4 linked regions of the Arabidopsis thaliana genome follow. The protein of the gene in region 2 interacts with the protein of the main gene of each other region in a pairwise test. Each region holds a gene or a part of one and is shown on either strand. Other genes may lie near its edges.

The links.
Region 1: the proteins of AT4G00870 (region 2) and JAZ11 interact in a two-hybrid assay, tested with the Arabidopsis thaliana proteins (one study listed by BioGRID).
Region 3: the proteins of AT4G00870 (region 2) and SCE1 interact in a two-hybrid assay, tested with the Arabidopsis thaliana proteins (one study listed by BioGRID).
Region 4: the proteins of AT4G00870 (region 2) and ATO interact in binary tests that used the Arabidopsis thaliana proteins (3 or more experiments, as listed by UniProt).

What each region holds. Positions count from the first base shown.
Region 1 is NC_003074.8:15,364,009-15,371,774, reverse strand, and holds JAZ11 (jasmonate-zim-domain protein 11), read right to left. Parts: upstream 4,230-7,766; 5' UTR 4,106-4,229; coding exon 3,999-4,105; intron 3,773-3,998; coding exon 3,688-3,772; intron 3,593-3,687; coding exon 3,490-3,592; intron 3,415-3,489; coding exon 3,357-3,414; intron 2,674-3,356; coding exon 2,577-2,673; intron 2,480-2,576; coding exon 2,347-2,479; intron 2,254-2,346; coding exon 2,196-2,253; intron 2,077-2,195; coding exon 2,001-2,076; 3' UTR 1,618-2,000; downstream 1-1,617. UniProt on the Arabidopsis thaliana protein: Repressor of jasmonate (JA) responses. Targets MYC2, MYC3 and MYC4 that are JA-dependent transcription activators.
Region 2 is NC_003075.7:360,313-367,184, forward strand, and holds AT4G00870 (basic helix-loop-helix (bHLH) DNA-binding superfamily protein), read right to left. Parts: upstream 3,398-6,872; 5' UTR 3,328-3,397; coding exon 3,067-3,327; intron 2,929-3,066; coding exon 1,918-2,928; 3' UTR 1,621-1,917; downstream 1-1,620. Other genes in the region: AT4G00872 (Plant invertase/pectin methylesterase inhibitor superfamily protein), read right to left, coding at 3,835-4,129, 4,204-4,424; AT4G00880 (SAUR-like auxin-responsive protein family), read right to left, coding at 6,380-6,748; AT4G00883 (uncharacterized protein), read left to right, coding at 6,404-6,763, 6,866-6,872.
Region 3 is NC_003074.8:21,426,365-21,433,040, reverse strand, and holds SCE1 (sumo conjugation enzyme 1), read left to right. Parts: upstream 1-2,642; 5' UTR 2,643-2,930; coding exon 2,931-2,999; intron 3,000-3,125; coding exon 3,126-3,209; intron 3,210-3,696; coding exon 3,697-3,849; intron 3,850-3,941; coding exon 3,942-4,055; intron 4,056-4,147; coding exon 4,148-4,210; 3' UTR 4,211-4,545; downstream 4,546-6,676. Other genes in the region: AT3G57880 (Calcium-dependent lipid-binding (CaLB domain) plant phosphoribosyltransferase family protein), read left to right, coding at 1-1,843; UVI4-LIKE (UV-B-insensitive 4-like protein), read right to left, coding at 5,220-5,606, 5,964-6,308. UniProt on the Arabidopsis thaliana protein: SUMO-conjugating enzyme that accepts the SUMO proteins from the E1 SUMO-activating heterodimer SAE1/SAE2 and catalyzes its covalent attachment to other proteins with the E3 SUMO ligases SIZ1 and MMS21.
Region 4 is NC_003076.8:1,861,825-1,870,938, forward strand, and holds ATO (splicing factor-like protein), read right to left. Parts: upstream 4,610-9,114; 5' UTR 4,475-4,609; coding exon 4,301-4,474; intron 3,872-4,300; coding exon 3,758-3,871; intron 3,289-3,757; coding exon 3,184-3,288; intron 3,075-3,183; coding exon 2,932-3,074; intron 2,829-2,931; coding exon 2,732-2,828; intron 2,306-2,731; coding exon 2,156-2,305; intron 2,077-2,155; coding exon 2,005-2,076; intron 1,722-2,004; coding exon 1,563-1,721; intron 1,466-1,562; coding exon 1,259-1,465; intron 1,183-1,258; coding exon 1,036-1,182; intron 946-1,035; coding exon 799-945; 3' UTR 501-798; downstream 1-500. Other genes in the region: SUC9 (sucrose-proton symporter 9), read left to right, coding at 7,967-9,114. UniProt on the Arabidopsis thaliana protein: Splicing factor homolog to SF3a60 that may be involved in pre-spliceosome formation. Is necessary for gametic cell fate determination.

The sequences.
Region 1 (7,766 bases), on a different chromosome or scaffold from region 2:
AATGATCGTGCTTAATTCCTCTATGAAAATATTTTATAAGAGTGTTGTTTGTAAGCGAATAATAATCGAAGAAAGGACATTATGATTCAAAAATAAAGAATCATGGATGTACTCAGTTATTGTCAATGTATGAATATTTAAATAAATAAATTATGATTATATCATTCTCTGTATTTAAAATTGGGAATCATTGCCGACAAAAAAAAAATTGGGAATCATTCTCTATGGTATATAATAAGCAAATGAATATTTTTTTTAGTTTTTTAATCTTTTTAAACTATTAATTATTTAAATTATATTTTGACCTAGTAAAAAGTATTTATGGGTCCGCCGCATAGGCAGATCCAAAGAGCAAAGATTAAAGAAGGCCAGCTGACCCAACTAAAAATCTACATTTGTGTTATAGCCCTTTAAAATTTATGATATTATTTATATTTCATATGTTTTGACCCTTTTAAAATTACAAATTTGATGTAAACCTTTTAAGTTTTATTATATATTTTCTTCTACTTTGTGTTTTGATACTTTTAGCCTTTTAATGTGATTCACCCATAAATATTGAACCTAATTTGCGGTATATTTTAAACTAATAATATTTTTTAAAACTTGTTAGTTTTTTTTTTTAAATTACTAATTATTTTAAGTTATATTTTGATCTGATATAAAGTATTTATGGGTCTGCCCACGCGACAGACCCAAAAAGATTAAAAGGGGTCAGACGACCCCTCTAAAATTCTATATTTGTATTGTAGACCTTTAAAATTATTTTGTTTTTTCCTTTTTAAAATTACAAATTCATATGTAAACTTAAAGAGATGAGTTTTTTTTTTTTTAGTTTTTGGTTGTTTTTAATTACTTATTATTTTTAAATTATATTTGATGGACCCATAAAAAGTATTTATGGGTCCGCCGCATAGACATCCAAAGACGATTAAAGGAGGTCAGCTGGTTTCCTAAAGTTCAACATTTGCATTATAACCCTTTAAAATTTATGATATTATTTATATTTCTTATATTTTGATCTTCTTAAAATTACAAATTCGTTAGTAAACCTTTTTTTGTTTTTTGTTGCCGTTTGTGAACCCTTTAAATTACAAATTTGTATGTAAAATCCTTAAATACTTTAAAAGATGATCAAAGTTAAAGTTATCCCAAAATTTATTTGCATTGTTTCGTTGAATGATGTGGTAGCATTAGTCTTTGATCTTAGAGATTTGGTCTTGAAAAATGCACATATATAATTTATTACAAGTTTATACGGGATCATTTTGTAGATATATTTATGTAAATATAAAAAAAGTTAGAAAATATTTTTTTATTTTGATGATTTCAGTCGGATGATTGAGTGGTTATGGTAGCGCTACCAAAATATTTCATAATTTTGATGTTTTTATGAGTTATGATGTATAAATCATTTATAATAAATATGTTATGTTTCATCGTTTGTCATAACTTGGGCACATGTTAAATATATGTACTAAAAAATTATGCCGACCTGTTCACTTTTAGTGACCGACCCTAAATTGAAATGACCAAAAACTGGATTGGCTTGGTTTGAAAATTTTGGTTCTGGTAATAATCACATGCCTAACCAGACCTGAAAATTTTGATCTGAGGTCCCTACTAATCTCTCCGGTTAGTATTTGATGATTTCTCTGTATGTTTCTTGGTCGTGATTTGCTTATAAGGACACTAAGTCTTTCATGGTCATTTTTGAGTACTCTTGTGTTCTTATATAGCTCTGAGACCTTATCATACAGCATCAACATACATTGTGAAGAAAAAGAAATCATCTTCCTCAAAGAGGAGGTGCGAGATGATAAACACATCAAATCACAAACATGGAAAACAATTTTGTGTTTTGTCTAAGAAACATAGGCAGATGATTATCGTACAACAACGGAAGGCTTATATATGAGCTGTGTTAATCTTGTCAAAGATAACTGTGATACTGAGTTGCTTCGAAAGTAAGGTTTGAGGTTAGCTTACAGTCTTGGAGCTCATGTCACAATGGGGCTGGTTTCATTTTTGTCTGCTTCCGAAGTCGTAGCAGAGTAAGGCTTCGTGTGGACAAATCTGAAAATAAAGAGGGTCCAAGTTACTATTAGATGAAATCTAATGGTCAAACTCATAGGTGAGTGATGGAGAAAGATGAGAGTATATGTTTATAAAACAAGCACTGCAGATATGCCTACCGATGCCGTCTTTTCTCAAAAAATCTTTGAAGTGAACGTCTCCTAGCAATTGGCACATCTGAGATAAACATGCATCTTACATAAAGCTCATGGGGTTTTCCATACTCGGACTATATAACGTTTACGGTAATCCAATGTAGCAAGTCCTTACCTGCTGTCGATACGCAAGCTACTGTTGATGCGTTTGAGAATGAAATAGCTCTCTTTAATGCTGGATTTATACTGGTCAAATTAATTGTCTCAGTGGCTTTAGCTGCAGCAGCGATATGCAGAATTTCTTGAACCTATTAAGTGTGATCACCAAGAGAACAAGAAATCTCATGCAACTGCTTCCCAACAAAAACGAAATACGAATGTACTCAAAACTTGGATGGACCAAACCTTTTCAGCTGGAATACCATCAAATACGCTAAAACTCCCACCAAAAATAATGGTTAGTTGACTTGGAAGGATCATTGAACCATCTGGCTTCGTGGACCTTCAATAGAAGAAACAAGAGCTAGTTATGAATGATGGAAGATAATAATAATCCACCCAAATTTTAAGACCCTATTGATGCAAAAGGGAGAAGAACAAAATAGTGATTCCACTACAATATTACAGCCGCTTAGGCTATCAACTAACCTCAGTCCCATCAATACATCAGTTCAAACAACCTACTAAATTTAAATCATCTGATGATGTCATCTAACAGTAGATAGAAGGCTATTTTTGCATTCAACGGTACCAAAATCAAACACACAAGCCTAGTTCAAATTCAAGCTCATAAAACCGATACTAAAGAATGGGCAACAACATCTAATGTATTTGTGAGGCATGATCACTAAGAAATACACAATTATCTGGTGGCCATAAGTCAGCCAAATATGATATAGAAGTAGAATAATACATGAGAATAAAAGCTTAAACACTTGTAAGAAAAAAAACTAAAAGACTATCTCAGTTTCCGAAACCAGTCAATGTATACAAATTAACATTCACATAGATCCAGTCTCTTCATTTGCTTAAGCTTCAACAACCTACCTACACATGAAAATTCCTAAATGCAAGAACAATATTTGACGTCACAAACTAATACATACTAACAAATCAGATTCATACACACTAACACTTCCAGAACTATCAATATGTTAATAAAGCAAACACTGAATATCTAACTACCTGTCCCGTCTCTTCTCGAGAAATCTTTGAAGCGAACGTCTCCTAGCAATTGGAAGATCTGAGACAAACAGGGATTAATAGTCCGTAACTCCGTAGATAATGCTTACAGTAACCGAATGAAGCAATTGCTTACCAGCTACAGTTGAGAAAGAAAGAGCTCTGTTCAGTGCTGGATTGATACCGGTCACATTCTTCGTCTGTTTACCAGCAAAAGCGATGCGAATGATTTCTTGAACCTATTAAGCATTGATCACCAATACAATTAGAAACTCTGATGCAACCAACATAAACAAAATCAGAATGTATGTACTCAAAGCTAGATGGACCAAACCTTTTGTGCAGGGACACCATTGAAGACTCTACAACTCCCACCAAAGATAATAGTAAGTTGAGTTGAAGCATCTGGCTCTGTGGACCTTGAAACAAGAGTTTGAAATTAAACCTCTTGAGTTTCCCAAATTGATCTGCTAATTTAACAATTCATATAGATCCAAGTCTCGTCAATTGCTCACGCTCCTATAGTGTACTAAGAACTAACAAATCACAGAACTATAGGCTAAGAAAAAACTTCAAACACAAAGACAGATAAAGAGAAATGAGAATTAACGATTCAAATTGATTCCAGTTACTAGTGATACATACCTAGCTTCGTGAATCGATCTCTCAACGAGCAAGTCAAGTCCGGCGGAAACAGAACCGGTCCCGTCGGCGAAACTAGGAACGGGGAAATCTCCGTTTACCTCAGCCATGAGCCTCTCTGTGAATAATATCTGTCTTCTCCGTTTGATTGGGAATTGGTTCTCTTCTCTACGCAACGTTCGTTATTCGGTGTATTCATTATTCAATCAATTTTGTTTTCTTTTTGTTTTTCTCAGAAATATTCCAAAAAAACCTCAACTATTTGATTATTTTATATATCTAACTACTTATCTAATAAGTAATAATGCCTTACCAAAAAAAAAAACTACTTATCTAATAATACCTATTTATTTTCATTTGTTCTTGTAATATAGACAACTATTTAAAAAAATAAAATAGTGGACAATTTTGTTCGATGTGAAAAACTTAATACTCTTTACGCATCCTTTTTAGTACATGCATACCGCCGTTATCGTATTGCTAAAATAAATTAAATAAGATATATTAACACAAAGCTAACTATATAATTATGATGAAAAAATCAAAATATGTAAATTAGTCGAAGAACATTGAATCATTTTGATATTGAGGAACCAAAAATTAGAAAGAAATAAGCAAAAAAAAAAGAAATAGAGAAACGATTTGGTTTTTAAAGTTTGAAAATCTAAAAAGTAAAAATATATGAAAAGAGAATTAAAAATGAGACACTCATATCATTTTTCTATGATAATTTCCAAAAAGGCAAAAACGTATAAACTAAAAAAATACAAAGTAAATAAGAAATTTCTTTTCGTTTCAAAAAAAAAAGAATTAATTTTTTAAGGATAAAACTATAATTTGTTTTTAGAGCGTATGTATAATCTGCCAATATTTCTAGTTTGGGTTTTATTTGTCACTAATAAATTAGTTTGAGTTTTTTGACAACCGAAAAAGTTGAGGTTTTTTTGGCAAATTTTAATAGTTGAAGTTTTTTTTGGGAATTTTCTCTTCTATTTAAAACTCTATGTCGTAAAAGGTACAACAGTGGAAGCTTCCACTTCACCAACAATTCAGCTTATAAGCGGAGACCCAACTTAAAAAGTCCAATCCATAAAGATACCCCTTTAAGGAACTAAGAAATATAACAAATCCAACACAAAACCATGTGTGAGCCTATGAAGTAAAGTTGAAGTAGATGTTGTCGCCGTTCGCCGCTCATAGCCGATATGGTACGAAGCGTAAGGGAACTCCAAAACTACCGAAAACCGTCAGAGCTTCAAGAAATAAGTCCACAGGTTTTTAACTAGAGAATCCTACCAACTACATCATCAAATCTGTAAAGAAAAGATCTTCACAAGGGCAATGACTCCCGAACTCCAAAGAACATCAACGTAGATATTAAGCCGATGGAGCTTTTCAGCAACACCTAAAAACAAAAAGGAAAACACTCGTGTCCATAGATCAATTAGACAAATAGCCTCAATTGTAGATCATTCGCCATCTGAGATCGATTCCAGTGAGAAAAATCATCATTGATTATAAAAGCAAGCTTGATTCTTCTAGGTTTCATTGTTCATAAACCAATCGAACATCAAAATAGAGATTTACAGCTAAAAGCAATATTAGTGTGCAATGAAATTGTTTTCTTTTCTGCAACTTAAGATGTAACTCTTTGGATTGATTCCTGCAAATCGCAAACTCAAAAGATCAAATTGGATAATAAACACCTTTAAGCAAAAAAACACCTAAATTTCCAATAGAGGATCTATGAGATTATTGAAAGAAAAAAAAAAAAAAAAACATCAGATACACTGATAAGAAAAGTAGATCCGGCCAACGATGGTCATGGAATTCGAACGCTGTCAGGCAAGAGCCAGCCATCACTGCTAAAAACGACAGAGATGTTAGATATAAAACCCAACTATATTAAAACACATAAACGTCGGAATGCCATCAGGCCAGCGAAACAAAAGAGAAAACTTTCCCTTTTCTCTAAGATTTTTTAGAGAGAGAAGAGAGAGAAAGCTCGAAAACAATCTATTTCTTTCTCATTTTGTTCTTTTTTGTTTGTTTAAATGTGTAACTTAAGAAAAAAGAATAAAACAAAAAAAGGCATCAAGAATTTAAAACGTGCGTGAAAATAATACGTCGTCGCTTTGAGACTTTCCTTTTGAGAAACATAGAGCTGTTGTTAGTACTTGAGATACTCGGTAACATCAGTAGGTAACATGCATTTGCCCACCCAATCTTTTCTTTTTTTTTAGGTTTAAATTTCCATTAAAGATAAAAGCAAGTTACAAAACAAAGAGTCCAAAAAAAGGCACGCAAGCCCGAAAAATATACACGGCAAGAAGCCCAAATCCAAGTCACGCAGGCCCGAAACTAAACTTGAATGGCCCAACAAGACCCAAACAGCCCAAAAAGAAGAACAGAGAACGAAGGAACTGCCCTTAGCTGAAGAAACGAAACCAAGTAGAGAGCAGAGAGGATCCTGGAGAATCAAATTCACTACGCCGAGAAATGGGATCAAGCTTTGACCATAGAATAACCTTAAGTTCCTCGATGATCAAAGCAGAGGTACGGGGAGCATGAGAATGGATCTGACGATTGCGTTCTTTCCATAAGAGATAAATAGAGGCTTGGAACACTAGCTTGATGATGAGACAGAGATAAGCATCACACGAAGCCGAATTAATCCATAAGAGGCAGGCCATGAAGGGGACCGGAGGAGATAATCTTGTTCTATTCCTGAAGTGACTCCAGACCGCCAGACTAAAGTCACACTCAAAGAAGAGGTGATCTCTAGACTCCGAACTTCCAGAGCAAAGGACACAATCCGTGGGAATAGAAATTCCCCAACTCCGCATTCGGTCCCTAGTGTGAAGCCCTGTTCCAAGCCACAACCCAATTGATGAACGCATGATTTGGAATATAGTCCTTAAACCATATAGATTTATGCCACAGAACCGGACAGGTAGATGGGTGCAAAGCGAGCCAAGTTAGAGTAGAGGAGAACAATGGTGTGGGTGGATGATGCTCGAGCTTCCAAAGATAGACATCATCCACTTCACAATCAATGATATCAATCCAATATGGCAGGGCGTTTTTGATCGTCGAAATGATGGGATTACGACTTCGAGAAGTCATGATCTTCCATCCATTGCAAGATGTTGCGTCTCTAACAACCGCTTTTTTGTTCAACCCGATAACTTGAGGTCCTAATGGACCCGAGAGATCAATCAGCGGCCACAACCCCATCCAGTTATCATGCCAAAAACTTGTTGTAATTCCTTAACCCACCTCACACACCAAAAAAGGTCTCGCCAGGTTACAAAGTTTGCACAAACGTTTTCAAATCCAACTCCCTGAGTAGTAAGGATTCAGATCCCAAAAATTCCGGTTACCAATAAGATTAATCCTCATCCAAGAAACCCAAAGAGAACTAGCCTTAGTGAAAAACAACCAGATAAGTTTCAAAACGAAAACCGTATTCCAAGAGATCAACCTTTTCAACCCAAAGCCATCACTTTGCTTAGGCGTACATACTACGTTCCAAGTGATCTTTGCACCTCTAGCGTAGGTAGGCAGACCTTTCCAAAGAAAGGCATTACACATCTGCTCAATCTTTTGGAGACATTGGTTTGGAAGGAGGAAAACTGACACCAAGAAGTTGATGGTAGCAAAGATCACAGATTTCAGCAACCGAAGCCGACCAGCAAAGGAGAGATGTCTGACAGTCCAAGAGGAGAACTTTTTATTAATTCTGTCAAGAAGAGGTTGATAATCTTGTTT
Region 2 (6,872 bases):
TTTATCAAATAGATCTGATAGAATCGGTATTTCACAAAACAAGCATCGATTCGAGAAGAGTGATTTACCTGAATCGATTTCACAGACACGGAGAGGCGCAGGAAATTTTCGAGAAGAATCTCGTTGGTAGATTTTTAGGGAGGAATAGAAGAAATAGCGATTTACGTTTCTCGTCAAACTTGAAATGACCCAAAAGGGGTTTCCGATTGTGGTGTACAAATATTGGGCCATTATGGGCCCATTTCGTTTATGAGATTTTACTCCTAATTGGGCCACACTTGACTATTGGCCCATCTTAATACAAATCATTTCTTTGGGTTAATGAAGATAAAACTTTTTATGAGATTTTATACCAGATTGGGCCATACATGACTATTGGCCAAGCTAAAACAAATCATTTCTTTTGGGGTTAATGAAGATAAATCTTTTTAAACGGATTAAATTTTCTTAAAACAAAGCTTAGAATATATACAGTCAAAAATCTATAAATTAATATTCAATAAATTAATATCTCATTAAATTAATAATTTTCTTCCGTTCTCAAATTGATATTTTAGCCCAAATATTGTCTCTATAAATTAATAAACATGATAATTTATAGAGGTTTTACTGATTAAATTACAATTGCTATTTCAATTTGTAAAAATATTAAGAGTTCCTTTTGAATGACTTTGCTCAAAACGAGGTTTTAGAAAGTGCTAAAGCCTAAAGCTTCAAATGCACATAACACCAATATTTATTCTGCACGCATAAGATTTCTAAAATGATTTCAGTTGTTTTTCTTATTGCGTTTTAAAAACTTACAGTCTATTTATAAAGTGAAACATCTATAAAGAAGAAGAAGACAAACACGTATTTATTGTTAATATTTTTTTTTGTTGTTGAGTACCATATTAACCTAGAAGTTGGAACCGGGCATAATTTTTGCATGTGGCCATTTTTCATGTGATTTACCTATCAGTAAATTTTTGCATAACCGTTACATCGTTGCAGCAGGATTGAAGAAGGGATCATGTGAAAGATAACTGTTTCTGACTTTCTGTCAAAGAAACTTAATCTTAAGGTCGAAACTATATTGTATCATAGGTTATGTATACATAGACACATGATAGTTTGTTGCATAACATATTTTAATTTCTTTTAGAAAAACATAAAACCATGATCATCAAATAAAACAAAACATTTTTGTCTCATTAAGTAAATGCAAAATTGTTTAGTTCTGTTTTATATGTGAATGTTAGATACAGAATGATTACTTTTTCAAGCACAAAAACATTTTTTGCAATTAGTAATTAGCAAACAAAATAAGAAAGATACAATTCAATTGCATTATTGTACCCTTTTCTTCTCTTTGCATTATTGTACCACTTTTTTTTCTCAACATTATTGTACCCTTTATTTTTCTGTGCATTGTACTAATATTTTTTCCCCAAATTAACCAATCAGTGTCTTAATATAACAGTACGTCCAAGAATAATTAATATAAAGCATTGGTAGTTCATTACGTAATTGACTTGATTTGTTAGCAAGCTATCACTGAAGAGTGGTCCTAAATATTATAGGACAAGCGTGTGTGTGTCTATAATTCCTCCGTCTTCTCTATGGTTTTCAAACTAATATTTCCAAATGATCAATTAATGAGTTGTTTCTTTTAAAATATACAGTCTCTATATTGTTTTAGTAAGACAATATACCAAACACTTTGCGCTTTTAGCGAGCTAGTACGTACGTACGAGAAATAAAGTAAAAAAGTAACACATAAACTACGTATCAACGAGATCAAACTTTTGATAAAACAACATTAATCGCTAGAAGGAATTTGATTTTTCTAGTACTTATCAAATAAAACAAAAGGTCGCAAAAAAAAACAAAAATTATTATCACATCCTATGTTGACGTCACAAAACAAAGAAATTGTTATAGGCTTAGGGTTCGGACAAGTGTGGTCCTAAGCCTATCTTCCGATCTTAATCCTTCTGGAACCAAAACAACAACATCTTGAACCATAACCTGACTCAAGCGCGACGCGTTCGCGTGTTGTACACGACAATCCATTTCCATTAACGCACTCATCAATGCCGACGTAGGATGGTTCACATTCTCTGTCTGAACCCTAATTATGGCTTCTTCTCCGACGATCTTCACTTGCACTTCCAAGTCAGAGCCTCTGTTTGATTTTGAAGGTTTCTGGTTAACTTGGTACTCAACGGAAGACGGAGACGTATTGCTGCTGCTGTTGTCTAATTTATCTGTCTCCGTCATCTTCATTTTCTTGATCTCAGTTTCGAGATCATCGATTTTGGATTTAAGACTTTCTATGTACGAAACTGCGTCGGATAAAAGTGACGCTTTGTCCATTCGTGACACTTTTGGTACGATGGCACGTAGAGCGTAAAACCGGTGGTTTAGCTTCTCTCTCCGTTGCTTCTCCGCTTCCACGTGGGACAAAACCGCCGGATGATGTTTCTCTTTCGTCGCCGCAGCTACCCTTGTCGTCTCAAGTTTCCTCCTCCGTTTTCTTTCCGACCCGAATTGCTGATTTCCGCTTTTCGAATGATCTGATACCGCCGGTTTAGGGTAAGAACCGGTTTGGTTAGTGTGTTTTGTTGTTTTACCCGACCCGAATATGGACTTGACTCGGTTTATAAAGTTCCGGTTTTGTATAATTGATTCAGACGAACCAAGTTCGATAATGCCATTGTTGATGGGTATGGAGACCAATGTGTGTACCCCGTGAAAACCGGCTTCTTTAGCCCTCTCGTAGTTGCTAAACCGGAGCTCGTCGGGACCGGTTAACCAAACCAAAGATTCATCGGATACTTCCTTTCTCGGCGATCTATCTTCACCGTAAAACGATGCGGCATAGAACAACTCCAGATCATCTCCACCGTCCATCATCAGCTCACACTCGATGCTGTTTGTTGTATACTTAAGAAAGAAACAAAAACAAAAAATCAAGGGTAAGGAAAATTATATTATTTTCTTAATAGAACTTTTTTAAGAAGTTGATTTAAATAAATTTTGGATATTTTGATTAGATAACATAAGAGGCAAAGAAAAATGAACATTTTCTTGGGAATTGTTGTTCTTGTTTCCACAGAAATGACCATCAACCCAAACCAAGTAAGACCGGTCCGATTGATCATCAAACATCTTTTGCCAAAAAATGACATAAGCCCATCGGTCCGGTGAGGTTTCCACGACAAACCGGAGTTTTTGTTGAAGTACTAAATCCGGAGGAGAAGAGGACACTATGGCTGCAGGAGTTTGTTGTGTAAAAGAGAGCAAAGAAGAGGACAATGATGGAGAGAAAGTGAGATTATACATTTCTTTCCAGTGATCCCGACCAAAGAGAATTTAGAGGGTTAGAGAAGACAAGTGGAAAAGGATGAATAAGATTCTAAATTAATAGAGAAGACGATATTATAGTAGTAATATCAAATTTTCATTAATGATTTTCGTGAATTAAAGTTTATGATAAATATTCCAATAGTAGTAAGTTAGTCACGTGAAAACTGAACTGTTTTCCTACTTTAACGTTATAAGAACAACAATTTATCGTATAGTGGTCCAACTTTGATGAAATAGACAATATATCATTCTTTGCCAAAAAAAAAAAAAAAAAAAAGACAATATATCATTTAGATTTATATTGAATGATGGTTCAAACGAAAACTTATTTTGACAAATTTGAAAAGAAAAAAAAAACATGAGAGCTACAACAAATGGATATATGTGACTTTATAAATTTCATAAAGGAAATGATTTATTCAAATTGGGGTAAGCATTGATCGAAGTTGAGTTATATAGAAAACAATAAGGAGTTATTACTTATTAGAAGCGATCAATGATCCTCATAGCAGCGTCAGAGAGTTGAGCATAGATATTGATTTGACTAAATAGTTGGGGAGACGTGAACTTGACACGTTTGAGATTGAACATACATCTCAGAGGAAAGCCAAGCGCAAGCTTTATCGATTTGTTGGTTTTATCATAATCACCGGTTTTCAAACTTGTTTTGGCTTCCGACAGTATTGTAGATGCATTCGTCGACAAGTCTTTTTTGCAAATCTCCAGAGCTGTTTTCACTTCACCTTTATCTTTCTTTGACGATAAATTCGTTATGTTACTACACAAATGAAAAAATTGATATATTAGAGGATATTTCTGTATATTGGTTATAATTTGTAAGTGAAAACTTGCTTGGTGATGATATGGAGGTGGGATTCAAGACAGTTTATGACGATGCCAGCTATGCCTATATGGTCGGCGTGAATGGAGTTTGGGTCGGATTCAAGACATTGCATGCATATGGCTGGGACGTCTGCATTGTGGCATTCATTTATCATCATGTCCTTCTCGGCGCATATCGACATAGGAGAGATCACCAGTATTAACAGCAGAAACTTGATCATCGTTTTCATGCTAAGTATGATTGATTATAGACTATATTTCTTTTTAAGGGGTGTGAATTACTTATATAAACTAAGAATATGGTTGGTCATGACTCATGAGTGATCTCTTTTACATTACACGTGTTTAACGTCTTTAATTTTACCTTTAAAACTGACCATTGAAATGCAAATTGATGTCTTATTTTACTTCATTTGGGTAGAAAAGCAGATTATAGTTCTCTTTTTGAATTATAATTTATACATTTTCTTACTCCATTCAATAATATTATGATCTATTACCCTTTAGTTTATGTTTTAAGTTTTTTTAATACATTTATGGATATTATTAGACATATAAACAATATAATAATTAAGATGTTTTGGCTTAGAACCTCCTAGTATTAAAAAAAAAAGTAGGGTAATTAATGATGTTTTTTCTTAAAACAATAACTAAAAGTAAGTAAAAGTTTTTTTTTTGTTAATTTTAAATTTTACTAATTGTAAGTAGGTAATAATAAAATTTAAATAAATTAGTGTAATTGTTTTTTTTTATATATACTTAGCTGAATACTTCCGTAAACATGTTTATAATACAAAAGCCCAATTTTGGCCCATAAACTTATAAAACATGGGTTTTTTTTTGTCGTTATAAAACATGGTTTTAGTTCACGAAGAATAATATATTCCTACCGCATCTAATCTATTAAACAAAATCACGTTATTGTATTTGGTAGTGAGTGTTGTTATTCTGGCCATACAAATGGTCAAAAGCCTCTCGTCCATTTCTTTCCATTTTCAAGATTCTTCAATCCATCATTATTTTGCTTTACTTATAAAGAATCGTACGAAAAATTATAATCGAAATAAAGTTTCGAATATACGTACTTCAAACAAAATTAAGAGGAGAAGACCACTGCACAATTGCATATTTATGGTAGATTTTGCTTCACTTTTTTTTGCAAGTGTATGATTAAAGTTTTTCTAACATATCATGAGGTTGTTATTTTTGTGACCGTAAAGATTTAATGAACAACAATTGCGTAGACAACAATGTTGATCAGATGAATTTATAGATTTAGCGAATAAATTTCTTAACTTAATCATTCATTTACAGGAACTTCGTTTTCACATATCTTTATGAACGGAAACGTAACATAGAAGTTATATTGATGAATGGTGGTATATATGTGAAATAACCACTAAATTACTTTCTTCTCCAAATGATTAACCTGTTGTAGAATAGTTTGGCAAAGCCGATAGAATCAGTCCATTGGCCTCCAGTGAAAGGCTTCCACTTTTGAAGTTTTTATAAATTTTCATTGCCAAATTTCATCTTTTGTAACTCACTTTGGAGGAACTTCAAAATCTTGTATCACTTTATCTTTTTCTCTAACATTGTTTGCTTCATAGCATACGTTGAGTCGACAAACTGATTGTTTTTCCTTCCATGTTTTAATCCTTTTTTTTTGCCATAAGACCAAGTCTATAAGTCTAAAATATATAACTGTAAACCTAAACATTTTTATTCTTATGAATATTTACATTTTAGCAACAAAAAACCTGAACTAAAGTGATTTTTAAAATAAAAATGATTTTTAAAATAAAAATGGAAAAATGTAAAATTACTTTCTTCTCCAAATCATTAATAAAATTATAAAATTTCAATTGACAAGTCAACTCATAGAAGAGATTGAGTATAGTAAATAACTAAATATTAATTGTTCAACATACATATTATTTTAATATTATTACAAGATGATGATTTTCTATTTTTATGATCGGGCATAAGCGTACAATTAATCATCATGAGACATATATATATATATATATATATATATGAACAACAACAACAACAACAACAACAACAACAACAACAACAACAACAACAAGCCACACCTTAAGATAAGATGAAATGAAGACCGAGATTTATTTATAATCAGCAGCATGAGATAATATCTAGTTTAAAAAGAGCCAAAACAATATCATCAAACCCTAAAACACCGGATGAGATGGTTGTGATGATGATGGTGATGATCAAGGAGATTAGTACCGAGAAATCTAGTGTTTTCTCGATCGATCAATCCTTGAACATACCTAAACTCCTCAACGTGACAAGGGATCGTGATTGTCCCTTTTTGAGCAAAACCAAACTCTTCTTCAGCTTCCTTCAAGAGTTGTCCAAACAAAGGATGATTAAAGTACATAACGGGAATCACAAATCTCTCTTGCTCTTCTCCTTGTCCTACCTTCACTGCCAAACACCCTTTTGGTACCTTTTCATGATCATGCTCATGATGATGGAGACGTGGGATGTGGAAGCTCCAGTGGCTCATGACTTTGTCTCCGTTACCCATGGGCCGATAATATTAGTATAGATAATATATACTATGGTTTAGTTAGTTTGTTGCCATGGTTTCTGTCTCTCCCATGTTGGTTTATTTTCTCTAGAAGATGGTTTTTGTTTTGTCTAGAAAGTGA
Region 3 (6,676 bases), on a different chromosome or scaffold from region 2:
TTGGTTTGGTACTCAAGCTGATGAAGCTTTCCCTGAAGCTTGGCACTCTGATGCTGCAACTGTTAGTGGTACTGATGCTCTTGCCAACATCCGTTCCAAGGTTTATCTTTCTCCTAAGCTTTGGTACCTCAGGGTTAATGTAATTGAAGCTCAAGATTTGATACCAACTGATAAGCAAAGATATCCCGAGGTTTATGTGAAGGCTATAGTGGGAAACCAGGCGTTGAGGACTAGAGTATCGCAGAGCAGGACTATTAATCCCATGTGGAATGAGGATTTGATGTTTGTCGCAGCAGAGCCATTTGAGGAACCTTTGATCCTCAGCGTGGAAGATAGAGTTGCTCCAAACAAAGATGAAGTCTTGGGGAGATGTGCGATCCCGTTGCAGTATTTGGACAGAAGATTTGACCATAAACCGGTGAACAGCAGGTGGTACAATCTCGAGAAGCATATTATGGTCGATGGAGAGAAGAAGGAGACCAAATTCGCTAGCAGGATTCACATGAGAATATGTTTGGAAGGAGGGTATCACGTTCTCGATGAGTCTACGCATTACAGCAGTGATCTTAGACCAACAGCGAAGCAACTATGGAAGCCTAATATCGGTGTACTGGAGTTGGGGATACTGAATGCTACAGGTCTGATGCCTATGAAAACCAAAGACGGCCGGGGAACCACAGATGCATATTGTGTGGCGAAGTACGGACAGAAATGGATTCGAACTCGGACAATCATTGACAGCTTTACACCAAGATGGAATGAGCAATATACTTGGGAGGTTTTTGATCCGTGCACCGTTGTTACTGTTGGAGTTTTTGATAACTGCCATCTCCATGGAGGTGAGAAGATTGGAGGAGCAAAAGATTCAAGAATCGGGAAGGTAAGAATCAGGCTTTCTACTCTCGAGACTGATCGAGTTTATACACATTCATACCCTCTTTTGGTGCTCCATCCTAACGGAGTCAAGAAAATGGGAGAAATTCACTTAGCTGTGAGATTCACTTGCTCTTCATTGCTCAACATGATGTATATGTACTCACAGCCTCTCTTACCGAAGATGCATTATATCCATCCACTGACGGTTAGCCAGCTTGATAACTTGAGGCATCAAGCGACTCAGATTGTATCGATGAGGCTGACCCGAGCAGAACCACCTCTAAGGAAAGAAGTAGTTGAGTATATGCTTGATGTGGGTTCTCACATGTGGAGTATGCGGAGAAGCAAAGCAAACTTTTTCAGGATTATGGGAGTTTTGAGTGGGTTAATCGCAGTAGGAAAATGGTTTGAACAAATCTGCAACTGGAAGAATCCAATCACAACAGTCTTGATCCATCTCTTGTTCATCATCCTTGTGCTCTATCCCGAACTAATCTTGCCCACCATCTTCCTCTACCTCTTCCTCATCGGTATCTGGTACTACCGTTGGAGACCGAGGCATCCTCCTCACATGGACACACGTCTCTCTCACGCTGACTCAGCCCACCCCGACGAGCTAGATGAAGAGTTCGACACTTTTCCTACTTCCCGACCATCTGACATAGTCAGGATGAGGTATGACAGGTTGAGGAGTATTGCTGGTAGGATTCAGACAGTGGTAGGTGATCTAGCAACTCAAGGAGAAAGGCTTCAGTCTCTGCTAAGCTGGCGTGATCCGCGTGCAACAGCGCTCTTCGTCTTGTTCTGCTTGATTGCCGCAGTCATTCTCTATGTGACACCTTTCCAGGTTGTGGCTCTTTGTATTGGAATCTATGCTCTGAGACATCCGAGGTTCAGATACAAACTACCATCCGTTCCTCTCAATTTCTTCAGAAGGCTTCCTGCAAGAACTGATTGCATGCTCTGACCTGCAAAAACTGCTTCCAATACCGAAGAAAACTTCTATAAGACTTGTAGTTTGTTCTTGTTAAAAATATCATGATGACTCTTTTTAGTTTGTTCATTGTTAAAAATGTCATGATGACTCTTTTCTTGGTGATGGTGATGATGTATCCGTCTGTCTTTTAACATTATTAAGACTTTTGTTTGAAAGTAGTAAAGAAGTATCTTGTGTGGTTTTGATGTTCTTGTCACTGGTTAGTAAGTCATAATCTATGCCTCTCTGGTTTTTGTGTTTTATCACTGGAGCTTTAGGAGTTTGGTGCCATTGGGTTGGTTGCTGTTGAGATTAGAGGTTGTCACAGTTTGGTCTAATGGTCAAATACAAGTTTCAAGAAAAAACCATTTTTCTAATACATCCAAAGTTGGTTATAACCAAAAAAACTATCATATTGGGAATATATGTTCGCTAAATAACATTCTTACACAAAAATTCATTGAAAGCTTTGATATTTTATTTTTTTTCCGACCATTCTGTTTGACAAATGTTTGCCAGGTGAGATACTTTTATTCTAGAAAGACCAACCATTAAGAAGAAGAGGGGAATAATTAAAGCAAGCTTAAGAGTTAAGAACACAAAGTAAATGGGCCCAGATATGGTAATGGGCCACGTGACAAATGGGATGATACGTTATGGCAGAGAAAGAATCTTTTGGTAGCTTTTTTGGGTATCATCGCGTAGGTTTCACGCCACATTTATCCATTGACTTTTTCATTACGTCTTTTCATTTATTTTATGATATAGTAGATAATAATTATACCTGGTTAAAATTTAATAATTGACCGGTCAATAACCATTAAAGTGGAGGAAGTAGGACGAAAGGACATTTATTCGCCGCGAAATCTGGACCGTACGATACTCCGATTACCCTTCTAAAGCTTTAACATAGGGGTACATCTGTAACTTCACATTCCATCTTCCCCCAATCTCCTATTTGTGTCTTCTTCGAGTTTATATATAGAGAGATAGAGATTGGAGAGCGAGCGAGACAAATCAGAAGAGAGAGATTTAGATATTGTAGAGTGAGATTCTAAAGAGAGAGAGAGAGAGAGATATGGCTAGTGGAATCGCTCGTGGTCGTTTAGCTGAAGAGAGGAAATCGTGGAGGAAGAATCATCCTCATGTAAGTGATTTCGTGTCTTCTATTTCTCCAAATTCGTGATTTTGATTTATGGGTTTTGGGTTTCTGTTGATTGTTCATGGTCTCTGATTACTGATTGGGTTTCTTCTTGTTGATGGTGAAATTTAGGGTTTTGTGGCAAAGCCGGAGACGGGGCAGGATGGAACTGTGAATCTAATGGTGTGGCATTGCACTATACCTGGTAAAGCTGGGGTAAGTATCAATCGTGAAATTAGGTTTCTTCAGTTTTCTTATTCCTCTGCTTGTTTTCTTCTGGTTTGTATTAGTAGCAACAAAAAAGAGATTGAAATTAGGGTTTATTGATTTGGGCTAAAGTCTTTGTTTTTATCATCTTCTGATTCTTAGTTCTTCAAAGTTTTAAGCTTCACCAGTCTCTTCCCTTCTTTTTCTTTGTGATTCTGTTTGATGATTCTCTCATATTTGCTTACACATAGAGCCGTGGAAGATTATCTAATATGAATGTTAGTGGGAAGAGTAGCTGTGTATCTATCTCCTTGTTTATCTTGTATGATGTTTTTTTATTGGTGCATATGATTTTGGTCTTGAATACGACATTGAAACTGAACTCTGCTGTGTATCTTACTTTGACATGGCTAATAAGAGTGTTACTGCAAGAGCAATTGCTAATATCAATCTTTACTGTTGTTTATAGCTAATTTTACATGTTTCTCTGCTGCAGACTGATTGGGAAGGTGGATTCTTTCCATTAACGATGCACTTCAGTGAGGATTATCCGAGCAAACCTCCGAAATGTAAATTTCCACAAGGGTTTTTCCACCCTAATGTCTATCCATCTGGAACTGTCTGTCTCTCTATCCTTAACGAGGATTATGTAAGTACTCTACTGTTTCTTTCTTTGCATTTCTCCATGAGCAAAAGCCAGCTTTATCCTCAAGCTCTCTTTTGTTATGTGTATATCCATAGGGATGGAGACCAGCCATCACCGTGAAGCAGATTCTTGTTGGTATTCAGGATTTACTTGACACACCGAATCCCGCTGACCCTGCACAGACAGATGGTTATCATCTCTTCTGTCAGGTACATTTAGAAATGAAAACTCTAAACACAATATTAGGTTTTGAAACATAGGAAGGAACTAAGTCGAGTGATTGTTGATGATTATTGTGCAGGATCCAGTTGAGTACAAGAAAAGGGTGAAGCTGCAGTCCAAGCAGTATCCTGCTCTTGTCTAAAACCTCAAAAAAGAGAACGCACCAAAACTGATGACAAGCTCTGAATATTTTCTCGTCTTGTGTCATTATGTTTAGATGTCATTGGGTGATTGAAAACTCCTCATTTTGGCACCTTAAGACACTGGAATCTATTTATTTTCGAAAAAAAACTCTTCTTTCTCTATTTAACTGTTAATATTCTTGGTACTGATTCAGTTGGTGTTGCTTCTATATAATACATAATTATGTTCTCTGGTCGTTCATGAGTGTTGTCCAAATTCTACTAAGTGAAATATGAAGTCTTCATTCCATAGAGTAACGAATCTTAGTTGTGAATCTAGAAATACATATATTTCTAACTTGAAACTACGCTTAACACTTGAAAGTCAAAATCTTACTCCTCTAAAATTTATACTCCACTGATTTTAGACTTTTGAAGTAGTATTAGTGCTTGTTAGTAAATTGTTTGCTACTTGGAACATTTTTTGTCAATGATTGAGATAGAAAGCTTGGAATATTTAACAGAACTTGGAATTTAGCTACGAAATCAAGTGTGCAGAAAGAGATAGGCAAACACCGTATGTCAACAGTTACAAAGCAATAAAACCAAACATTCAATACTTATATACAACTCAATTATTGAAAGTCAACAACAAGCCAAAATCGTCTACAAGTGATGACACTTCAGATATGAAATGTGTGAACTATTATAATCTTTCCTATGATATCATCATCAGCAGATGATTCCTGATCTATTCTATCATCAGAACAATGATTTTCCAAAACGAGTATCCTATAAAATCGTCAAAAGATGATTGACGCTTCTAATAAAATCATCAGAAAATGATACAAGTCTAAGAAACCACCGAACTTGTGAAGATATGTCATTAGAGGATGACCTGTAGATCCATCTATGATATCATAAGAAGATGATGTACTCACTGTGCAGGAACCTTTAAGCAGATATACCTCTATGGTCTCTTCTCCTAAGTAAGGATCATCGCATCTGGTCTCTTCTCCTAAGTAAAGATCATCGCATAGTCATTAAAGTCCGCACCCTCTTCTCCCGCTCTTCCCTTTTAGCTTGAGGAGTGCTCTTCAACTTCTGGATCTCCGCCATCACAATTTTCTCAACTTTGTCAATAGAATTGAGTAGCTTCTTCTCGGGTGTGATGAAGCCAGCTTCTTCCTCAGCTATCTCTTTAGTGATGTCAAGTAACATCTTTTGAACTTTAGCAGTTGATGGTGGGCAACTACGCTTGAATCCCACAGATGGTCCAGGAGTGACCATCGAGCATTTGTGTTCTCCTGACAGTGGTACTGGAGATTCAAGAACACCAACTTGTCGATGAGTTGGGATCTCAATAACTCGGCCATCGTCTCCTCCAGTCCCAGCTCCTCTTCTTCTCTCAATAGCCTGTAGTTCAAGAGTGTCAACAGAATAAATCGCCAGGCTAAGCAAGCCTTAAGGCAACAAATCTATGTGATAAAACTTATACAGATAGGCTAAGCAAGCCTGCTATGATCAATAATAAACAGAAACGCTTTAACAAACCAAACCTATCAGTAGCAGATTCCTAATTCAGCTCAAAAGAAGGATTACAAAAACCAATGGGGAAACTTAGACTCAGAGAAACCATTTTCCATGTGCTACACCACAAACAAGAGAGATCCCAAACATTTAACCAAGCTGCAAAGCAAAACCCATGCCAGACCAAAACTGATTATACAAAGAAGAATCAACAGGAAAACACAAAAGAGCTTGTCAATTTACCCGCACAATATGAGTTATGTCGCGTAGAGGTGTTCTTGGATACCAAGAAGGCAACAAACCACCACCTCTTCCACGCCTAGCGGTCACTATGGGCATATTCTCTCTTCCCTGTGGCAATCTAAATGGAGTGTGACCACCTCTGCCATTACCAGGCCTCCATGTAGTGAAATTGCCTCTCACAAGCCCGCCCGTTCCACCAATAGACCCAATATCTGGATTCACCGGAGATTCAATCAAACTAAGCCGTGAATCTGGCTCGTCAAGTAAAATACCATGTCTCCGTCGGTTGGCAAATATAGTCGAGTAATCCACAGGCCTCTCGGTTCGATCTCTTGCTTCTGGCATTTTGATAACGTCGCTGAAACAAACAACAACATAGATTCAATTAGAGACTGAAACATCAAAACTGAATGAAGAAACCCTAGGGTTTTACCCAGAAATCAAATCGTTCATTTCTCCTTAAAAATCAACCCCAAAATTTCCAGAATAATATATCAAGAAACGGAGAACACAACCAAAGGTTATCACAAACAATCCCAAAATGAAATCACAAATCACCCGATTCCAATTTCAAATCGAGTCACAAGAACACCGGTAAACCCCACCCTAACGTCTATAAACGCAATCAAATAGAAGAAGAAACACCATGGATTTGTGTTTACCTTTGAATCTTCAATAAAGCTATTGATAAACTCCAAAACTGTGTAGAGAGA
Region 4 (9,114 bases), on a different chromosome or scaffold from region 2:
CTAGTCATCGAATGAGGCCGTTGGACTGTAAATAAAAAAGGTAAAGCCCATCCCAACTTTTATTTCTTAATTAAAATTTTGGAATATGATTAAGAAAGGAATATTTCATTATTCTTTCCAAAATAGCAAAATGAGATTGTATGTTTAGGTTTTTTGAAAACAAATAAAATTTGAAAGTCTTCGTATATGGACATATATCTGACCAAAATCAAATATCTGTGTATTTTTCAAAAAAAAAAAATATCGTAAATAAATATAATAAAAAAAAATAAAGGTAAACTATGTGATAGCTTACTTTAAAAAATTTGACAGTCGTATGAGGTATTGAGGTTGTATCTGTTTATTTTGATAATTTTTATAAAGTTTGACTCAAATTTTAAGTTTTATCAAAAAAGGAACCAATGATTTGTTAGGAATTGGATAATTAAGGAAATTAAAACATTCCAATTTTGTAAGAATATCAAAGATCAAAAAATTAGTTCAAAATTTGTGAGTACACTATCATCTGAAAACTTTAGTGATTGATTCTTACATGTAGTATCCTATATTAACTCATATCTGTTTCTTGTTATTGAAGTAAAGTCCTCAACTATTCCTTACTAGCATTGTCCATACAAAAACAAATTTTATATCCTCGATTGTGATAGTCAATTCAAAAACATAAACTAAATACTGTTTTAATGAGACGAAACCTCACAAAAAGATGACGAATGGTTTGATTTTACAAAGGCGAAAGGTAGAATATGGTTTAAAGGGATATAGTAAGGAGAGAAGATTTCATCAAGAGGATGTGATCAATCAGATGAGACCTTGGCGTTGAAGATCAGAGTAAGTCTTCTTGTTGTAAATGTTACCTTCACGATCTTCATATTCTTCTTCAAGTTCTGGCCTCCATTTGTTCACTCCTTGCCTCTCCTGTATCCTCTTCCACAATTCTTTGGCTTCCTGAAACAAACCAAACAACAACAAGATCAAATTACCAAACTATTTACTACTTTAAGCTGTACAAAGTCTTTGATCATATTATATTATTACCTCAATCGAAGTGATTTCGTTGAAGTTCTTTGTGTTTGGGATTCCTAGGCAACGCATTCCGTGTTGGTGTCGCCATTCTTTAAAATGTCTCTCAAAAGCCCTTCTTCCCCAATAGCTATAGTTCCCACATATCTCGCATTTAAACTCCTGCGTAATAACAAGAAATTTAATGTGAATCTATGTTCCTTTGATACAACAATGGTCTCATAAATAAACTACATACCTGGCCAAGGCCATGAAGTTTGTAGAGCCAGTATGGTATAGGCTTCCCATCCCAACCTATTGGTAGCTTCAGCGGATTGTAAATCAAACCGTCCTCGTCATCACTTTCTAATTCGGTATTAGCTTCCTCCCCTTCACGTTCTCCCTCCATTTCTTCATATGTCAACGACTGTTTCTTTACAATGTTTTGTTTTGTCCTTTCGATGGTCTATAAAAGGTGACAACAAGAAAAGTTAACAGAAAAAGTACAACTAGATATCTGGGAGGGGGAAAAAAATGTCACTATGAGCTTTCAATCAACTAACCTCATCAAGTAAATTGCAGAGTTTCTTCACTTTGGCCTCTGTTAGTGCAATCTCTTTAGCATTTTCAGACTCATGTGTTGATTTGGCATCTCCGTTTTGTTTTCCGTTGTGTGGAGGTCTGGCAAAATGTTTCTTATCCAGCTTTTCCAAAGGCGTATGCTGTACAAAAATTGAATTAATTAAGGGAATTAGATAACCTCAAGGTAATAAGAAAAGCTTCAAATAGAATTCAATCCCTACAAAACATGAACTATGACAACAAAAGCCTTAGTTTCATATTAGAAGAAGAGCTGAGCTGAACTACCAAACTAGGTTTCATAACAGCTAAATGTTCCTTCCAAACCCAGTAAGAACAACAAGAACGCGGCTACTAATTGATAAAAGTACCCTCTCATAAGACGAAACTTAAAGAAATAGGAGATTATATAGCAAGTGTAAAAACCTTTGTCAGGAAAAGTCTCTCGGCACGCTGCTGCGGAGTACCACCAACCTTCAGTCCTAATGCCCCCAATGCCTGAATGGCATACAAAGAACATATGATTAGGGGAATATGCTTCAAAAAGGATATTAACATGAAGTAGTATGGTCATTACCTCTTTTAGCTTTTCAGGTCCTACATCTACCAGTTCCTCGACTGTACTGTAGTAATCAAGATCTATGACAGTATGCTGAGATGGAATAAGTTCATTATCCAGGCCTTCTACTATTCCATCTGCATATTGCTCTTCAAAATCAGAACAAACCTGTAAAAGAACCAAACATATTAATCGCAACAGATCAAACAATAGGCACAGCATTGGCCAAACTAGAACTACCAGAATGTCAAACTATAACATGGTTCAAAACCTTCCGAGGATATACAATCTCTGCACTTAGAGCAAACTATGCACCAATGAATATTGAATACAACCATCTAGTTATGGCCATTTATTTTCCAAAATTATGTATTATCTCCAGGGGGATGAAAGACTCACAAAGCAACCAGTTGTTAGAACTAAGGAAATCAAATCCAAAGTTCTACACTTAATACTTGGGAAACTAGTAGAAACTTCTTAAGCACGAATAAATATACCAGTTATGTACTAATGCATAGTTCGAAACGCCCATAAAATTTCATAAGGCAACAAGGTAAACGCAATAAAATGATAAAGAAAGGGAGGAGCTTAAACCTTAGAAAGTATCCGGTCAAGATCTTGCAACGGCTCGGTTCGCTGGAAGAAGTAGACCAGGTACTCAAGTAGAGCTTCCATATACTTCATGTATTGCCTAAAATGAAAAATAGCAATACAAAAAGGAAAGCCATTCAGCTGCAGCTAGAAAAATAATTGGAGGCTTTCTAAGTAAAAGAAAATTCCAATGAAGTGTTTACCTCGATAACTTCAGTTTACGCGGTATTTTCTCTGGTTGAGAAAAAACATCAAGGTAAGCAGAATATTCAACCCTTTCCCCAAATTTAGAGTTGATGTACTGGTTATACATATCATGCAAGTCCAAGTACCGACCATTGCCTTCCTGCGTAACAGACAAGAAGATTTAAGTATTGACAATAAAAAAGGGGCTTACAAACTGTTAAAAAATGCGTCAACAAATAGCAACAATAAAAAGTCAAGCAGAAACCTACCTCTCCACTGAACGCAATAATTGGTTCCTCCTTCAGGCGTGCTTCGTAGTCTTCATTAGCATCAACAAGACGTCCAGAAGGATGCCTTTTATGATATTCACGTATCTGTAAGTTTATAAAAGAAGTTAAATAGTTGCAGCTCTGATGCTTTCATCAGTGGTACAAGAAAATCAAATAATTCAGACAATAAAAAAAAAACGAATTAGCAATTTGAATCTTATTCAGGGTGTCCTCATGAAAATTTCACCGCCTTAATACTCTTATGCAAAGCAAGCCTTATACAGCTAACCAAATTGTTGATGGAACAGAACTAATACACTTTCACTGAGATTTTGTACATAATTCTTGATTCTCCATCACAGTGGTTCAAGGCAATCAATAAAACTATTTTTTTTTAAAAGATCAACAGCTAAATAACAATGTCTAGATTAACTAATAGTCCGGTAAAGTTAGCTGCTCAATCTCTAATATACAACCCACAGAAACTAAAGTAAAGCCAAGTCTTGGTATAGAGAACCATAGGCAAGTTTTAGGGAAAAAAGACCAAGGAAGGTGCAAAGGATAAAGAACAAACCTCTTTCAAACGATCGTAAAATTCACTAAACACATTTGTCCCTGTCGCAGTCTGGCCACCAAGCGCTGCAATCTCATCATCCCACGCCCCATCCTTATCTTCATAGGTTTCAACCTTACAACAAACAAGAATCAAGGTTAGCATTAATCCAAGTTTGAGTTAATTATCAACAACAAAAATTAACTCAAATTTGTGAAATAACACTGAAGCATGCTTAGCTCAAAACTTAGAATCCCTACATACACACTTAAGACCCCAACTATAACCTATATTCAACACCAATCTCTGAAGTTTCTTCTCAATTTAACACCCAAGCCAGAGTGATTCAAAGCTAACTTAAACCCCACAATGATAACCTAAAAAGCTAAAGCAATTAACAGAAAAAGAGGCAACACTCAACACGAACCTGTTATTTAAAAAAAAATCAGCAACCCAAGTTTCTCTGCTCTGATCTAACGTATTCAAAAGAGAAGAGACATAAAAACATATGCGGGAAATAGAAAAGAAGATTAAAAATTGACGAGAAGAAGAGAGAAAGCGTACAAGTTTCTCAGTGGTGAGCATAATAGACTCAATCATGTGACGAACACGATGTCCCTGGACCAATCTGTCCTTGCTGGACGGTGGCTCCTTCTGTAGATCTTCCACAACCAATCGCTCCAACCTTTCAACCTCTTCGTGATTGGAGCGAGTTTGCTCGAGGAGAGTCGACGACATTTTCTCTGTCTTCGAAGCTTTGAAATCTCCTTCTTCGCCGGAGTCTAAACCCTAAATTCCAGTCACTTTTCTTTTCCTCAATCCGAAATCTCGCCAGTAAAATTTTTAACGCCAATCCGAGAGAAAAAGATAATCGGGTGGTTTTTGTTGTGGTTTGGGTCGTTTAAGCCGAACTATGTTTTGGGCCTTTTTAGACGGTTTGTGTTTTAGGCCTTTTTTTGACTGTTAGTGTTTTGGGCCTTTTTAGACTCTTTTTTTTCTTTTATATTTTATTATTATTTTACTTATTATAAAAAAATCTATAATATGGTAAAATACCATTTGGTAATTATTTTCTTTTAAGATCTATTCCATTTGGTAATTTATATATTTTTTATCTGATTGCAATCCTCTTTTAATGGGAATACTCAAACATTATGTGTTTGTTTGATATTGTACTATACTTCAATGGGTTCATTTGCAAAGATGTTAACGGAGAGAAGGTTGTACAGAAAAAAAATGGGCAGTTTACAACCATCCACTATGAATGGCTTTGATATTGGTAGCAAACTAACACAAAATCAAGTCATCATTGTCAAAGTTAAAGAGTTAACAAGCCATTTATTCACTCTTTTCAAATTGAATTCATGATATCTCACATGATATAAGATTTGCAAGCTATCTCCTAATAGTATTGAGGTTTGTTGAGATGACATCTTTAATAGATCAATGGAAAGAGCTATATTTGGTTGTTTTCCTCAGGAAAGAGCTATATAGGATGATCATATATTCATATTGAACCAACGATGGGCATTTTGGGGTAAGTATTGCCACCTGACAACAAAATAATAGCCAATCCCATAGACTAATCTTATGACTTCTGATATTGATTTATGTTTGTAAAACCAAAGGAAGATCTCCGAGTGGACATACAAAATTGAAATGTCGTTAACAATTCATATTTGGTATTATTTTTTTTATCTATAAACAATTTTCCATTATTAGTCACTTCCATGTCCAAGCTCAAGAATTCTGTTTCAGGTGTTGTCTTTGAAAGATAGTCCATGCCAACATCGTTTACATATCAGTATATCACTTACTTTACGGCAAACTAAGGCAAACCATATTTCGATTAGTTCATGAGTCGCTAATTGTAACTTAAGGATATCAAGGTTGGAAGTAATTCACTTTGAAACATCACCATTTCGTATGAGTTGATCTTCTTAATAAAAAGATAATAAATACAGAGAAGCAAATGAGAGTTCATCGTAAACACAGCAAACCAAATCAAGAAAACAAAGCAAATATGGTTATTCATTTCAAATGGTGGAATCAGAATATCAATAAGCAAAAACTGGTACATGGTTTGATTCACGTTTGAGTTATATGTTCCTCATTTTCCACTATTCCATCAAACCAAAACAAACAATAAAAACTCAAACAAAACTTTTGAAAAGCGGCGAAGTCAGAGATGTTAAATATGCCTCAAACAGTTTTAAGCTCATAATGAGGAAATTACCCCTCATTCGCACATCTAATTGGTTCATCATTCTCGCCGTTTCATTGCAAAACCAATAAAAACAATGTATCCTACCCGATTATATAGAACGAGATACTAAATGAACGAAATTAAAATCTGAAAATCCTCAAACGCAAAGATCTCTAGCAGATAAAAGAGATAAACACTTATATCTGAAGAGTCAGCGAGAGAGGACCTTAATTCCAGATCTAATGCCGATATAAAAAAACTCGACCTATAATAAATCAGGAAGGTAAAAACTGGGTTAGTTCTTAGGAGAACCCTAATCAAAAACCCTTAATAAATTTCGATTTAGCGCAGCAATGACTCGACACGCTTCCATTAAGCATTTGTGGAAGGCGATCTTAAGGGCTGCGCAACGATTTAAAAAAAAAACGATAAATACGAATAACACGATTTAGAACATAAGCCCTAATATCTAAGAATTGGGGGTTATAATCGAAGATGCATTGTATATATAGTGAAGACTTGTTTTACCCTAGTCGAAGAAGCTTATCCTCGTTTATTGACTATTGGGCTTTAAGCCCATGTTATTTTAAGCCTTATAGGCAAAACAAGACAGAAAACAAAAAGACCAGAATCGCCTTATTCATCAAGTTTTTTTCTTCTTACTTAAACCGAACCGAACCGAACCGAATTGGATTGAGCCATGCCGACACGGAGTTCTGCTCTATAACTTTAATTCGGCACGCAGTCTAAATACAGAGACACTATATGACAAACTCCTCCATCGCCGGTGGTCTGCACAGGGGAGGGGAAACAGCGATTCGAAAATGTCAGGTCGTGAAAGTTACCGTCTTCAGCACCGAGATCCATCTCAGACTTCATATTTTGATGTATTACCAACCTTGTTCATTAATCATAATTGGACATTGTTTCCTTCTATGATGTCGTTTTACATTTCACTCATTGTACTCTTTTCTTTGTATCTTGTTGCTAAAACAGACAACTTCTTAGCAAAATCTATCCTGAAAGAAGTTATTGTCCGTCAAGGTCTGATGTAACTCTCAAGCGATATGTACTGAATTCATGAAGTAATGGAATGTGGGAGTGTACTTTTCACTGAGGTACTCGAGAACTATCATAGATGGCTATACTTGCCATTAGAGTAGTGGCTTCTCAGCTTCTCTTGTTTTCATTCAGGTTTCTGACTCATATAAACCCGATTTCCCGCAACTTGATGCTCAGACAGAGCGTTAGTCTTTTGGAGAGCTTGCAATCATGCTGGAAAGAAGATGTTCTCGTTTTCTCTGCTGCTGGCAAATTTCTTCGCTTGACATTGCAGCTTCGTTCGAGGTTTGTGAAATTTGACTTTAATATTATCATCAATATTGATAGACATATATCTAGTGAAGATAACGTGAAAACTTGCTTGTTTTACCTTAATCGAAGAAGCTTTTTCACGTTTATGGACTTTAGGCCCATATCTTACGACATAATCACTTTGGAATTTTGGATACTTAACCATTTTATGTTAGGCTCGTAACTGACGACATAATCAATTTGGATACTTAACGTACCCAAATTGGGTTTTGAGATATCATTTGTTTCACCTTCTTTTTCTTGTGGAGGAAGTCAAAATAATATGTAACAGTAATGCGGTTTGATGCAAACAGAAATTTAAAAAAGGAAAACGAACAAAACAAATTTGACGAGAAATTGTAAACAAAAACATATTACAGAAACAAGAAATCTGTCACGATCTCAGAATATGTAAAGATAAGATAATAAACTGATTTCAGTTAGTCTTGTCATTATTACCAAATTCCTATAAGGATATTTGCGTTATATCCTTTAGTATAAATGATTTATTTTCTTAACTAATGAAACACAGAATCAAAACGTTTATAGAAACATAAATCTCATTCATCTTCCACACCTCGTCTTTAAGAGACGAGTCCGTTTCTTTTCATCTCCTCTATCACGATTCACCATCACCAAAACACAACCTCTTAAGATAACGTGAAGAAACTATGAGTGACATCCAAGCAAAAGAAGATGCGGCGCCTGTTGATAGACAGTCTTCTTCGTCGGTTGTGGTTCCTGATGAGCCGTCACCTCTAAGAAAGATGATATCAGTGGCTTCTATCGCAGCCGGTATACAGTTTGGTTGGGCTCTTCAGCTTTCTCTCCTAACCCCATACGTTCAGCTTCTCGGAGTCCCACACAAATGGTCATCTTTCATATGGCTATGTGGTCCTATCTCCGGTCTGCTCGTCCAGCCAACCGTCGGTTACTTCAGCGACCGATGCAAGTCAAGATTCGGTCGTCGTCGACCTTTCATCGCCACTGGTGCCTTGCTTGTTGCCCTTGCTGTTATACTAATTGGATTTGCGGCTGACTTCGGCCACACCATGGGAGATAAACTCGACGAAGCTGTCAAGATAAGAGCCGTTGGTTTCTTCGTTGTCGGTTTCTGGATCCTTGACGTGGCTAACAACACTCTTCAAGGACCTTGCCGTGCTTTTCTTGGTGATTTAGCAGCCGGAGATGCTAAGAAAACTCGAACTGCCAACGCGATTTTCTCTTTCTTCATGGCCGTTGGAAACGTTTTGGGATACGCTGCGGGATCGTACACTAACCTCCACAAGATTTTCCCTTTCACAGTGACTAAAGCATGCGACATCTATTGTGCAAATCTCAAGAGCTGTTTCATTATTTCCATCACTCTCCTCATAGTCCTCACAATCATAGCTCTTTGGTACGTGGAAGACAAGCAATGGTCGCCTAATGCAGATTCCGACAATGAGAAAACTCCCTTCTTTGGCGAGATCTTTGGAGCTTTCAAGGTGATGAAACGTCCAATGTGGATGCTTCTAGCCGTCACGGCCTTGAACTGGATCGCATGGTTTCCTTTTCTTTTATACGATACCGATTGGATGGGTCGTGAAGTGTATGGTGGAGACTCAGCAGGAGATGACAAAATGAAGAAACTATACAACCACGGAATCCAAGTTGGTTCGTTGGGGTTGATGCTTAACTCTATCGTTCTTGGAGTCATGTCCCTTGTTATTGGAGTGATTAGTAAGAAAATTGGAGCTAAAAGGCTTTGGGGAGCTGTGAACATAATCCTCGCGGTGTGTTTGGCAATGACAGTTTTGGTTACTAAAAAGGCTGAGGA